Tribolium castaneum: one gene and its partners. The protein of the gene in region 2 purifies or fractionates together with the protein of the main gene of each other region. This does not show direct contact. Links are inferred from orthologs where the notes say so. Each region holds a gene or a part of one and is shown on either strand. Other genes may lie near its edges.

Evidence for each region.
Region 1: the proteins of Snr1 (region 2) and Sin3A purify together in Homo sapiens (affinity purification with western blotting; 3 studies listed by BioGRID, with this or other methods). This does not show direct contact. The link is inferred for Tribolium castaneum from reciprocal best matches to the Homo sapiens genes SMARCB1 and SIN3A.
Region 3: the proteins of Snr1 (region 2) and proline-rich protein HaeIII subfamily 1 purify together in Homo sapiens (affinity purification with mass spectrometry; 9 studies listed by BioGRID and IntAct, counting the BioPlex papers as one, with this or other methods). This does not show direct contact. The link is inferred for Tribolium castaneum from reciprocal best matches to the Homo sapiens genes SMARCB1 and SS18.

Annotation. Positions count from the first base shown.
Region 1 is NC_087396.1:24,662,003-24,665,758, forward strand, and holds the start of Sin3A (paired amphipathic helix protein Sin3b), read right to left. Parts: upstream 2,451-3,756; 5' UTR 1,864-2,450; intron 1,784-1,863; 5' UTR 1,648-1,783; intron 1-1,647. Other genes in the region: sel (protein seele), read left to right, coding at 3,619-3,703. UniProt on the Homo sapiens protein: Acts as a transcriptional repressor. Corepressor for REST. Interacts with MXI1 to repress MYC responsive genes and antagonize MYC oncogenic activities. Also interacts with MXD1-MAX heterodimers to repress transcription by tethering SIN3A to DNA.
Region 2 is NC_087401.1:13,705,496-13,709,167, forward strand, and holds the start of Snr1 (SWI/SNF-related matrix-associated actin-dependent regulator of chromatin subfamily B member 1), read right to left. Parts: upstream 2,846-3,672; 5' UTR 2,620-2,845; coding exon 2,348-2,619; intron 2,301-2,347; coding exon 1,993-2,300; intron 1-1,992.
Region 3 is NC_087398.1:224,283-228,038, reverse strand, and holds proline-rich protein HaeIII subfamily 1, read right to left. Parts: upstream 2,192-3,756; 5' UTR 2,047-2,191; coding exon 1,822-2,046; intron 1,815-1,821; exon of another isoform or gene 1,698-1,814; intron 1,668-1,697; coding exon of another isoform or gene 1,631-1,667; exon of another isoform or gene 1,526-1,630; coding exon of another isoform or gene 1,445-1,525; intron 1,227-1,444; coding exon 291-1,226; 3' UTR 135-290; downstream 1-134. Other genes in the region: rRNA-processing protein UTP23 homolog, read left to right, coding at 2,297-2,416, 2,467-3,087. UniProt on the Homo sapiens protein: Appears to function synergistically with RBM14 as a transcriptional coactivator. Isoform 1 and isoform 2 function in nuclear receptor coactivation. Isoform 1 and isoform 2 function in general transcriptional coactivation.

The DNA of each region.
Region 1 (3,756 bases), on a different chromosome or scaffold from region 2:
AAGAAAAACGTGTTCGTGTCATGATATGCTGCTATTTTATTACATTAATCGAATTCCTAACAATTACCTACCTTTTGTTTAATTAATAATTTCAGAAGATATTATGAATATTGTATTTCCGTGAAAAAATACAATGTTTTTTAGACAAAAAATATATAACCCATGATAATAACCGGTAAGCATTTTATTTAACATTCCATTATAAATTGGTTTCCAATAGAAATTACATTTTTTATTACATGTAAAACCAATTTTCATTTTCCAATACCTATAATTGTGATTATGTAAATTAATTTTTAACAATTTGCCATTTTTATCCTCTATCCACCGCTGTACAAACATTATTTCTGCATGTTATTACTGTCAGATCAGTTTTTGTAATTATCTCTGACCTTTTTCTTACAAATAAATAAATATACACCGTTAGTAATTATTATAACGTTATAATTTAAAACATACATAATAATACCTAAATTAAAAACAGAGACAAACTCTAATTTAAATAATTTTACTACCTATTTATTTGGTAGATAAATGAATAATATTAAAGTAGAGCACAATGTGACACATAATTACAGTTTTAATAAAATTCGCACAGACTACTCTTATGAAACACGTCCTACAGATTGAATAATTATCAAATTATTTCCCTCGTCTTACCTCTGAAATTTTATATAAACATGTTCATTCCAGCACGAAAATGTTATTCAAGAATTACTAAAAATCGTAAAAACAAAAATCTAAACTAGTATTTGACAAAAAAATAATTTGTGGAAATAAACATGTAAAAAAGCTTTTAAAAATGTAATTTGACCATACTGTTTTTTACAAGCTAGGAGAGCAAAATGATGACTTTATTTCGACATAACCTCAAAATAACATGTTACGTAAACAAAATCCAACAACATTTCGTCCATCATAGTCAAAACCACTGATATTTTTAAAGTTTTAATATAAGATTCGAGGAAAATTTGCAACAATATCGGCAACAACGTTCATGGAACATTTCTCGATCCCATGTTGAACATTTTCAATTCAGCTGATCCGCAAAACGACACGCCCACTTATTTATTTCTGGCATAAACAAAACCGGTAGCGTTTATACGAACTGCTACGCAGTTACTTATCGCGTCATTCCGGACAATAATGGCGTCGGTATTTCTCCCCGGAAAAAAAAACAAAACAAAACTCAGGGTAACAATTCTTATCATTTTGGCACTCGTGAGATAACCAAATAAATAGTCCATACCCTAAACCATTTATGCAAACAGTAAATCAACTTTCACGGATGACCTTGAAAAGGCGCGCGTCAAAGTTTTAGAAAGCCCGCATAAAAATCTCGTCACGTGTCGGTTTCTGGTGGCCATTTTTCGGCATTTGTGTTGTGGCAACGTTGCCACACCTTTGTGCATGAGTAATTTGTGGCAGTGGCAACGTTGCGTGTCGACTTCGCTCCCGCGATCTAGCAAGCTAGGCTCGCGATTGGCCAATGAAGGAATCGATAGGCGAGTGGAAGGGCAGGGAACCGGACGTGCGAGGCGCTGCGACCGAAGCGACCCAAACACGAAAGTGCATAAAGCCGAAAATCGGACGCGACTCTTTGTCAGTAAACAAATACAAAATGTTGCATCGAAATTTCGTAATTACCGAAAGGTCGGCAGATTTTCGGCGGAAAAGCGTTGCCAGGCCGACGAAATTTCCACGGAGGGAGAGTGCCGGCCCCCGCGACGGAGGCTAATTTTGGAACGCCGACGCCGAAATCGCGGAAAAACCATGGGAAATGCTGGAAAAGCGGCGCCGAATTGGGAATTGCAATTACACAACACTTGTGTCAATGTGAAAAGTTAAAAATATGTCACTCACCTTACAAAAGCCTCTTTCGCGGAAAGCGCTTCCGTGCGGACTGGTGCCGGGGATGCACCGTACAATTGCAACCGATCCGCGCTGATTTCACTGGGAAATAATTGGAAAACACTAGAATTCATCAAAAGAAAATTCTGACACATTCTGTTCCGAACCACCCGAAACGATGACCGATTGTCGACTGACTGGCTGCTTCAAATCTCCGAGCTTGTTTGGACGAGTCCATCAATTTCGGGTGGTTGGTCGCTTTGCCCACTTTCAAATTTTTCAAGTTTTTGATCACCAAAATGCACAAAACCTACACACAAACATTACGACGTGCCACAGGATGAGCTCCCAATTCCAGAAAAATTACACTTTAGTCATATTGTGGATTTTTTCAGTTTCGGATACTAGCGACCGCCCCTCGAATCAATTGTCTGATCCGTAAAAGGTTTGTTTGATGCTTGCTCTGATAGTTCAATGTGAAGAGAACAGTGGCGCTGTTATCGATTTTTAAAAATACCCGCCAAAGAACAATGTAGTGCCCATTTTCGGATTAGTTGAGCGTGTAGCAGATGTAAAAGTTTTAAACTGACCTCTGACTGTTATTAATCTTATTAAGCCGGACATCAAGATTCAAACTCTTTTTGTGTCTATTAATTATTATTAATAAACTACACCTAAACATTTTTATTACTATTAAAAATAATTATACCTACAAGAAATTAATCAACTAAACAATTTCTAAAAGTATTCGTGCCAATGATTACGTGGCTGCAGAGGCTAATAAAAAATATAAAATTAAATAAAAATCTGAAAACAAGTAAAAAACTTGTCTATGCAATTAATTCATAAATCCACTTTATGTTGAATATACATCCAGTGAACATTACTGCATAACACACACCTCAAGAAGACACATTTTAATTACTAATTATTAATTTAGTCACTCTCTTCGGCAATAAGAACCACAATGAAAAATTAAAAAAATAATAATAACTGAAGTGAGTGTATAAAAATAGTTGAAAATCACATTTTTGGATTCAAAACATCAAAAAAAAACACACACACACACACACACAGTGATGCATGGAGAACATTGGAAATTTAAAACAGGTCATAAATTCCATTTAAAAAATTATGTAGCAATCTGAAACTTGAAACAAATACCATATGCTAATATTTAAGAGCTTTTGAGCTTTTTGAGAAAGATAAGAGTTGAAAAAAAAATAAATTCACTTGGTTTATTGTATTTTGGGTTGCCCACTTCAATCAGTGCTTCTATTCTATGACAGACAATAAATAATTGAAGAAAATGGGGTCACGTTTGTGCTCCGAGTCAAAACGGCTCCAATACACTTCTGATAAACTTGTAAAAAATTACCGTAAAAAACAGAAACATCCAATTAGTTAGAATTCAACCCAAATTAATCCAATTATTATTCCCAATTAGATAATTCTTACAAAAACTAACTGTATTATTGGACCGTTTGGTTATGTATTTTATCGATTTAATTTTACATTATAAAAACCACGGGATTATAACTGTGAAAGATTTTCGGTTCAAATAATTTTCATTACGGGAAATACCATTGGAGCAAATACTATCAGCCATCACTATCAGCATAAGCCCAATTTAGCCAATCAGAAGGTAGAAACGTGTCATTAGAAAATTATGAACGTCAACCAGTTTTATTTTGAAGAAAGCGAGCCGCGAAAATATTATTCTTGCCAGTTTATTCCGAAAAAGTGCAAAATTGTTCTGACAATAAGATGAAAATAACGCTAGTTCTAGTAACACTCTTTTTTTACAACACAAAAGCACAAAAAATTGATGCTCAAGAGTTGAGGTGTTTAGGTAAAGAATGAATGATTTTTGTTGTAATGGTGTTTTGTAATTAGTGATGATTT
Region 2 (3,672 bases):
TTGTCAATAACTATATAAGTGACTAAAGTTACGTTTGCTGATTTTTTTGATATTGAAAAAAAAACCAAAAACTAGTCGCTCAAAAGCACCAAACATTATTTTTTATACAATTTTTTTTTATTTTTTTTATTTTAAAAAATCGTCTCTCAAAAATACCCAACGGTTGTTTTGTATTTTCGTCTTGTTAAATTTTTTTTATAAAAGTTTAACAGTTGGTAATTGAAACCCTAAATATAATTTCTAATATCCCGATTTCAACAAATATAAAAATAATAAAAATAAAAAAACTACGAAACTAACAACAATGCACAAAATATTGTGTAATTAAAAAAAATACTCTGTTGATGATGAAGGATGACAGTCAAATACATGTTCGAACTAAAAAACAAAAAGACAGAAGAAAAAACGAAACTTCTGAAAAAAAAAAAAAGTTTTTTTTTTCTTGAGTTGGTATTTACTTGGTCTAAACTTTAAATTAGGTCGGCTATAGATAAAAACAAAGGTTTGGGACTTGGGCCCACTCTACAATTATCAAATAACAAAAATGGGAGAATAAAACACTTTTATTATTATTAAATTTCTCAAAAATAAGCCGAAAAGTCACTAACCTGCGTCAAAAATGGTGATAATTTTGCATTTTTTGGGAGTTTTATCACCATTTTAAACTTAAAACTCAATTATTTTACATTTTTGAGCGTGTTTAGTACATTTTTCAACAGAAATACAGTTGGTTAGAATAATTAATAAATAATAATATATTAAATAGACTGAAAAAGCACCTCAATTTTTATTTAAATTGGCTTTTTGACAAAATTCTTCAAAACAATGGAGATTTTCGCTCAAAAACTTACTTACTTACTTAATGAAAAAGGCAAGAAAAATATGAAAGTAAATTTTTCGGCGCATTTTAATGCAATTTCGTATAAAAACAAAGCTAGATTATTTTAAGAAATTAAGCTGTTAAAAAAAACATTACATTTGATTAATTCTGTCACGAAACTTTGCAGTTCCTGGCTCCAAAACAAATAAACCTACCAGAAATTCTTAAAACTAGGACGTCAATTTTATCTCAATTTGCTTATTTTTGACAAAATTTTACAAAAAAGTCAGTTTCTCGCTAAAAAAAATAAATCTAACGACAAAAACTAAAATAATGTCGAACCAACCGTAACTTTCGATATATTTAGATATTTTTCGGGGTATTTAATAAAAAAAAAGTTTTCAAAAAAGAGAAAACATTGTCAAAATGACATAAGTTTTGACATATTTAGATGATTTTTCGGTGCATTTTCACGAAATGTGTCCAAATCACTACTGAAGAAAACGTCAATTTCGACCTAATTTAGTCATTTTTTGACAAAACTTTCAAGAACAAGTAAGTCTCATACTCAAAAACAAGATAAGTTTAATAAAAAAAAGGCAAAATAATCTGGAAATAACGCTATTACTCAACATATTTAGATGATTTTTTAGCGTTTTTATGAAGTTTTGCTTCAACAAAAAAGCAAAGTCACTTTAAAGAAAACATACACTTTAATCTAATTGGAACTGTTTTTAAAGAGTGTCAAATTCAGGTCATTTTCGACATATTTAGATGATCTTTTGACGTGTTTTAATTAAATTAAACTCAAAAAAAGTTATAAATCATATTAAAAGTGTTTAAAAATGCGTTTTATCAAAAAATTTATCATTTACTACAAGTTTGTAGTTAATAATCAGGACCCAGTATCAACAATATGGTGTCAATTTAGATAACAGATGTAACCTTAGTTACTAGACTACAGTCATTGCCAACATATTTTTCTCGTATCACGCAATCTTGATTAGTTTAAATGACTGGTGGCAGGTTTAAAAATTATTCAAGAATTAAATTTCAGATCAAAATGCGCTAATAAGTATTCGAAAATAAGTTGATAAGAATAAATAATGTAAAAGTTACAACTTTATTTCAAATGCAGAGCGTACTGTGATTAGAAAAACCCAAAAAATTACCGTTTTTATTCCACGTGAAAGTGTCTCTCAGCTTCTGCCCCTCAATTTCCATATCCAGCCTTATCGGGACCAACAACTCCCCTTGTGCCGCATTTTGCATATTCAGCTCTGGATCAGTATCATCAAAACATAACGGAAACGTCCGAACTTTCTTCGCCGCCACTCTGTTCCGATTAATCGGGGTGGCTTGGGGCACAGCGTCCAAATGACTGGAGTTTGGGAGTGAGGGCACCCATTGCATCGACTTCTTCGATTTACTCTCCCTCGGCATCGGCGGGTCCGAAGTGTGCACCGAAACAGCCTTATACCTAAATAATCAACAAATAACAACAAAACCCCCAAAAAACAAACCAACTTTTCGTCATTTCCCTCAATGATATCCTCGACTTCCGAGGCCCGAAGCAGTGAGACACTGCTGGCCAGAACGTGCTGGCTCAAGCCCAGCTCGATGAGGCGTTTGCGTTCCTCGTTTGTGATTGACCTGCGGTACATTCCGGGGTATTTCTTGTAGAGGGAACCCCGGAACAGGCGCAGGTAGTTCCCCACCTCGGAGCCCACACAGTAATACTCCCCATTTTCCTCCAATTGGAAAGTTATCGGTTTTTCACCGAATGTTCGGAGGGCCATTTTGCCGCGTCCTTTAACACTGTGAGGTTAGGTGACACCAACAAATGTCAACAGGGCACTCAAATGGAAAATACGGGCATAAATTACACAAAGCAAGGACACGATTCACATTATTTCGTTTGGTTTTGCACGAGATGGTACTTGGGGTTAATTAATTCAAACAATTCGTAAAAAAACACTTTTGGTGGCTAGTCTAATTGACAAAACTGAAATCACCAGAAATGCATTAACTAGGCGTCCTCTGGTGACGACATGTCGTACTTGCCGAAAACAGTAACAAGTTTTGGTAATTGCTCATTTAATGGATTATTTAGCAATTCTGCGTGTGTACTGTTAATTTTTTACATTAGAGAGAGTCAATTTAAAATTATATGCCGGTAAATACTAGTGTTGCCTTTGGTTTTGCGTTTTTTCGTGATTATAAAGTGTTTTATGTTGGACTTTGATAAAAAAGTGAAAAAGATTTTTGATTACAAAGAGTTATTTAATCTATTGCGTAATCAAAAACTGTTAAGTATTGGGTCATTTACGGCGATTTACACACTACTGTTCCTTTCGGCATTGTATTGAGATCTCCGGATAATTTTATTGACTTAAAAGATATAAATATTGAAAGAAAGTGTTATTTGTGATAATTGAAGTAATTTGTTTAAGGAGATACTGTAATGAATCACTAATAACCAATAATAATCCATTTAAATAATCACACAAAAATCAGCGTTTGTGATTTTTTTTGCTTTATTTCTTTCTGTAAGCCTTCGAATTTTATCAGATTTTTTCTACAATTTCTTATAAATAATAAATATTAATTAATGAGAAATATTTATATTAATAAAATATTATTTTATTTAAAAAAAACTAAAAACATTAACTAATGGAAATTTTTATGATTTATAGAACAAGCGATGCTTGCAGAATGTTTTGTACAAAAAAAAATATGTAAAAAAATAAGTGTTCTACAAACGACTTGTTATTTACAGAAATACAATTTCTTTATTTGTTAATGCTTTTGAAGATACGTTCGATGAATAAGTAGATGTGGTTTATAATTAT
Region 3 (3,756 bases), on a different chromosome or scaffold from region 2:
AGCAAAATAATGTTGGGTGGTAGCAGCTGCCACAGAAAGCAGGTCTCAGCTATCCTAGTTCTAGTTACGTTTTTATTTTATATTTTTGAAGAAATTTGGCGTTTGGAGGGCTGTGGTCATTAATGATTAAGTGCTTATTTTGTCAAATTTATTACAATGAAATGGCGATACAAAAGAAAAAACATTCAATATCACACTATTTCTCGAGAGAAAAAAACTAAAAAAAACGCAGAAATACGATAAGTACTTCGAGTTGATTCCTAAAAAATGGAACATAGAATAAGGACTTTCTACTGTGGGTTTGGCTGGGCAGGGTAATTGTACCCATACTGCCCTTGCGGAGGTGGTGGACCTTGTGCTGTTGGAGGCCTTGGATACTGGTACCCTTGTGGTTGTCCCCCATATTGAGGCTGTGGTGGATAGCCAGGTTGTGGGGCATACCCATAATTATTGGGCGGTCCTGCAGGGGGATACCCTTGTGGGGTATTGGGTGTGTATCCTGCGTTAGGATTCGAGGGCTGAGAATTGGGTGGATATGGAGGTTGATACGGTTGTGGTGTGGTGGGTGGAGCCGAAGTAACCGCAGGACTTTGATTATTATTGGGTGGAGCCGAAAAGGGCGGAGACTGGGTATTACTAGGCCCGTAATTTTGTGGAGACGTACTTGGTTGGTTGGGATAAGAGGCGGGGGACGTTTGTGGTTGGCTAGAGGGTGGAGGCGGGGCGTAGCCCGGCTGGGGCGGGTATCCCTGTGGGTAAGTCTGTGGAGCCGTGGAATTGGGGTAGGGGCCACCATTAGGGTACGTCCCGGGTGGGGCTTGGGGCGGGGCACCTGGCGGAGGGTAGGGCCCTGCACCCGGTTGGGGTGGGGCTCCACCAGGTGGGGGCGTGCCGTAACCCGGCTGTTGGTAGTTGTTGTGTGCTGTCGTTGACGGTGGTTGTCCGTAATTGGCTTGAGCATTCGATGGGGGATAGACCGGGGGTTGGTTTGTGGGGTATTGGTTTTGTTGGGGATAGGCGTTACCTTGAGGTGGGTATTGGCCAGGGTATTGGTTTTGTTGGTAACCTCGCTGGGGGTAAGGGTGGGTTGGAACGCCAGGGCGTTGCGGTCCTGGAGGCTGGCGGTAGGCGGGTTGTTGTTGGTGGTTGAAATTGTTCATGTGCTGTTGATCCATTGTGGGTGGCGGCTGGCCGTGCGGTGGTGGGGGTGCCTGTGTTTGCAACATCTGAATAGAAAATATAGTTGTAGAAATGGGGAGGGGATCTGAAATTTTGTTATTTATCAACTGACTTAGATTCATGACAGGACCGGACTAGTTTGGGGAAAGGCTATTGTAAAATGGGATTGGTTTTACTTTTTATTAGAGCTATTTTAATAAAATCGCAATTTTGGAAATGTACTTTCTTAGATGTGTTCCCGAAAGGTATTCGGAAAGAATTTTACCTGTAGTCCGGCCCTGTCAGTAGTTAGCACCTGATTTGTAAATGTTAATACAAAATAAATACAAGAATTAAAAACAGGCATTTTATTGTTATTTCAAAGATAAAATCATAATCCTTTTATTTTTTGTCGCGATTTAAATAGAAGCACGTCAAACAAAGCGTAGATCTACGCTGAAATCAAGTCCCCATGCACTCTTTTGAATCAACAACAAATATGTCTCAAGGTTAGTAAATTTTAAAATAATATCACATACCAATTTTCATACGTAATTCGCAATCAATTTCTCACAAAGTTGCATAAACTACAGTAATTAATACCCGTTTGGCGTAGTTTTACCTTAACCTTTGTTACACAAGCCACTCTTTGTTTATACTTACAGGCAAAAAAGACTGAACATTTTGAGCAGAGTCTGCCATCGTGGCTAGATAAGTTAAATTCCTGTGCAATGCTTGTTGATACTGGACAACTTCTGGAGCTTTTCCTTTGCTTTGATACTCTTGAATTGTTTGAATCAAATGTCCATTTTCGTCGAGCATTTTTTGTACTTGTGCTGGGTTTGGTGGCGGTCGATTACCGCCACGTTGACCGAATCCCACAGACATTTTCACTTAATTAACGTGGTTGCACTTAAAAACAATTATTTTAACGAAAAACGAAGCTCACATTTGTCGTAATTTCGTTCGAGTTCACTTGACTGGTGTTTTTTCTAGTGACAGTTGTGAGTTGGCGGCAACGCATGAAAAAAACAACAAAAACCCTAAACTTGCAGGAACACCAACCGGTATTAAACGTCACGTTGTGAGGTTAGATTCATGATTAAAATAACAATTTGTGCGTGTTTATTAAGTTACAATGAAGATAAAAAGGTACAAAAAAGTGCACAAACACTTAAACTTCTACATAAATAATTTCGGGTTTCGGCAGCCTTATCAAATCCTACTAGACGGAACGTTTTGTTTTGCAGCTTTGAACGTAAGTAAATGACCCGTTTAAAAAGCTGTTTATTTAAGTCTTAAGTGTAGAATAAAGTGAATATCGCTGACAATGTTCCGAGATACTTACAAGGGGAGCTTAAATTGTTGACTACACAATGTGCAATCATCGAAATGGAAAATTTGGGTACTAAGTTGGGGGGCGCTTTAATCATCTTGAAGAAATTTCCCATTCACAAATGCGGACATGAAGGACAACCAGTTGTTGCCTCAGAGTGCTTGTTATCAATGTTGGGTGATACAAATCTTAATCATTACGTTATCGCAACTCAAGATAGAGATTTACAAAATAATGTGAGACATAAAGTGGGTGTACCGCTTCTTTATCTTCATGGGAAGACTCCAGTATTGGAACAACCTTCAGAGGTAACAGTTGAGGCCACTAGAAGTAGGGCTGAAGGCTTAAGTGTAAGTGAGAGACAGAAAATTGAAAAGTTGAAATTGGAGAGTGGTTTAGTTGAAGCCAAAGGTAAGAAAGTGAAGAGGAAGAAGAAAGGGCCAAACCCTTTGTCGTGCAAGAAGAAGAAGAAAAATAAGTCAGGAGAGGTGGATAAAGTGGTGAAAAATACAGAAGAGAAGAAGAAAAGGAAGAAAATTAGGATAGCACAACATGTTAAAGAGATTTTGTTCAATAAAGACAATCAAGTTTAGTACATTTTATTATTTTCATATACAGTATAGGAATCATTTTTACATTTTTTTACCTAGACAGAGTTCTACTATAAATATTTTTCTTTTTTGTCTACACAGACTAACAGATAGACCCGTTAATAAATTATTAAATCTAGTACATTTCATATTACACATCCTTATTGGTAAGTACCTATACTTATGTTTTCGTAGAGTATAATTTCTCGTTTTAACAAATATACATCACATCAAAAGAAAAAACAAACGGAAATAATGAATTCAGTTAAATTACAATTACTGGAATCAAAAGCAAACAATTAAAACATTGAGCCAATAAACCAAATTCATTATTTCGAAATATTGCACTTATAAAAAAACTAATTAAAAAACGTAAAATGGCAGTCTTTATATTGTATTGTCAATAATCCAAGATAAATAAGGATTTATAATTAGTTTTTTTTTGATTCTATGACCACATGTCTTACAATGAGCACCTTTTATAAAACTCTAAAATCTAATAATTACAGATTAAAGCTTATTTTTTTACATGACCTAAATTTCGTATAACCAAACGTTTTGGTGTTGTGGAGGTTATTTTTGGTTGTTCACGAAACATTAAAAAAAAGTCTAACAATTTTGATATGTAAAAAAAGAAAGTTGAACCGAAAGTCACAGCATAATTCTCGCAGC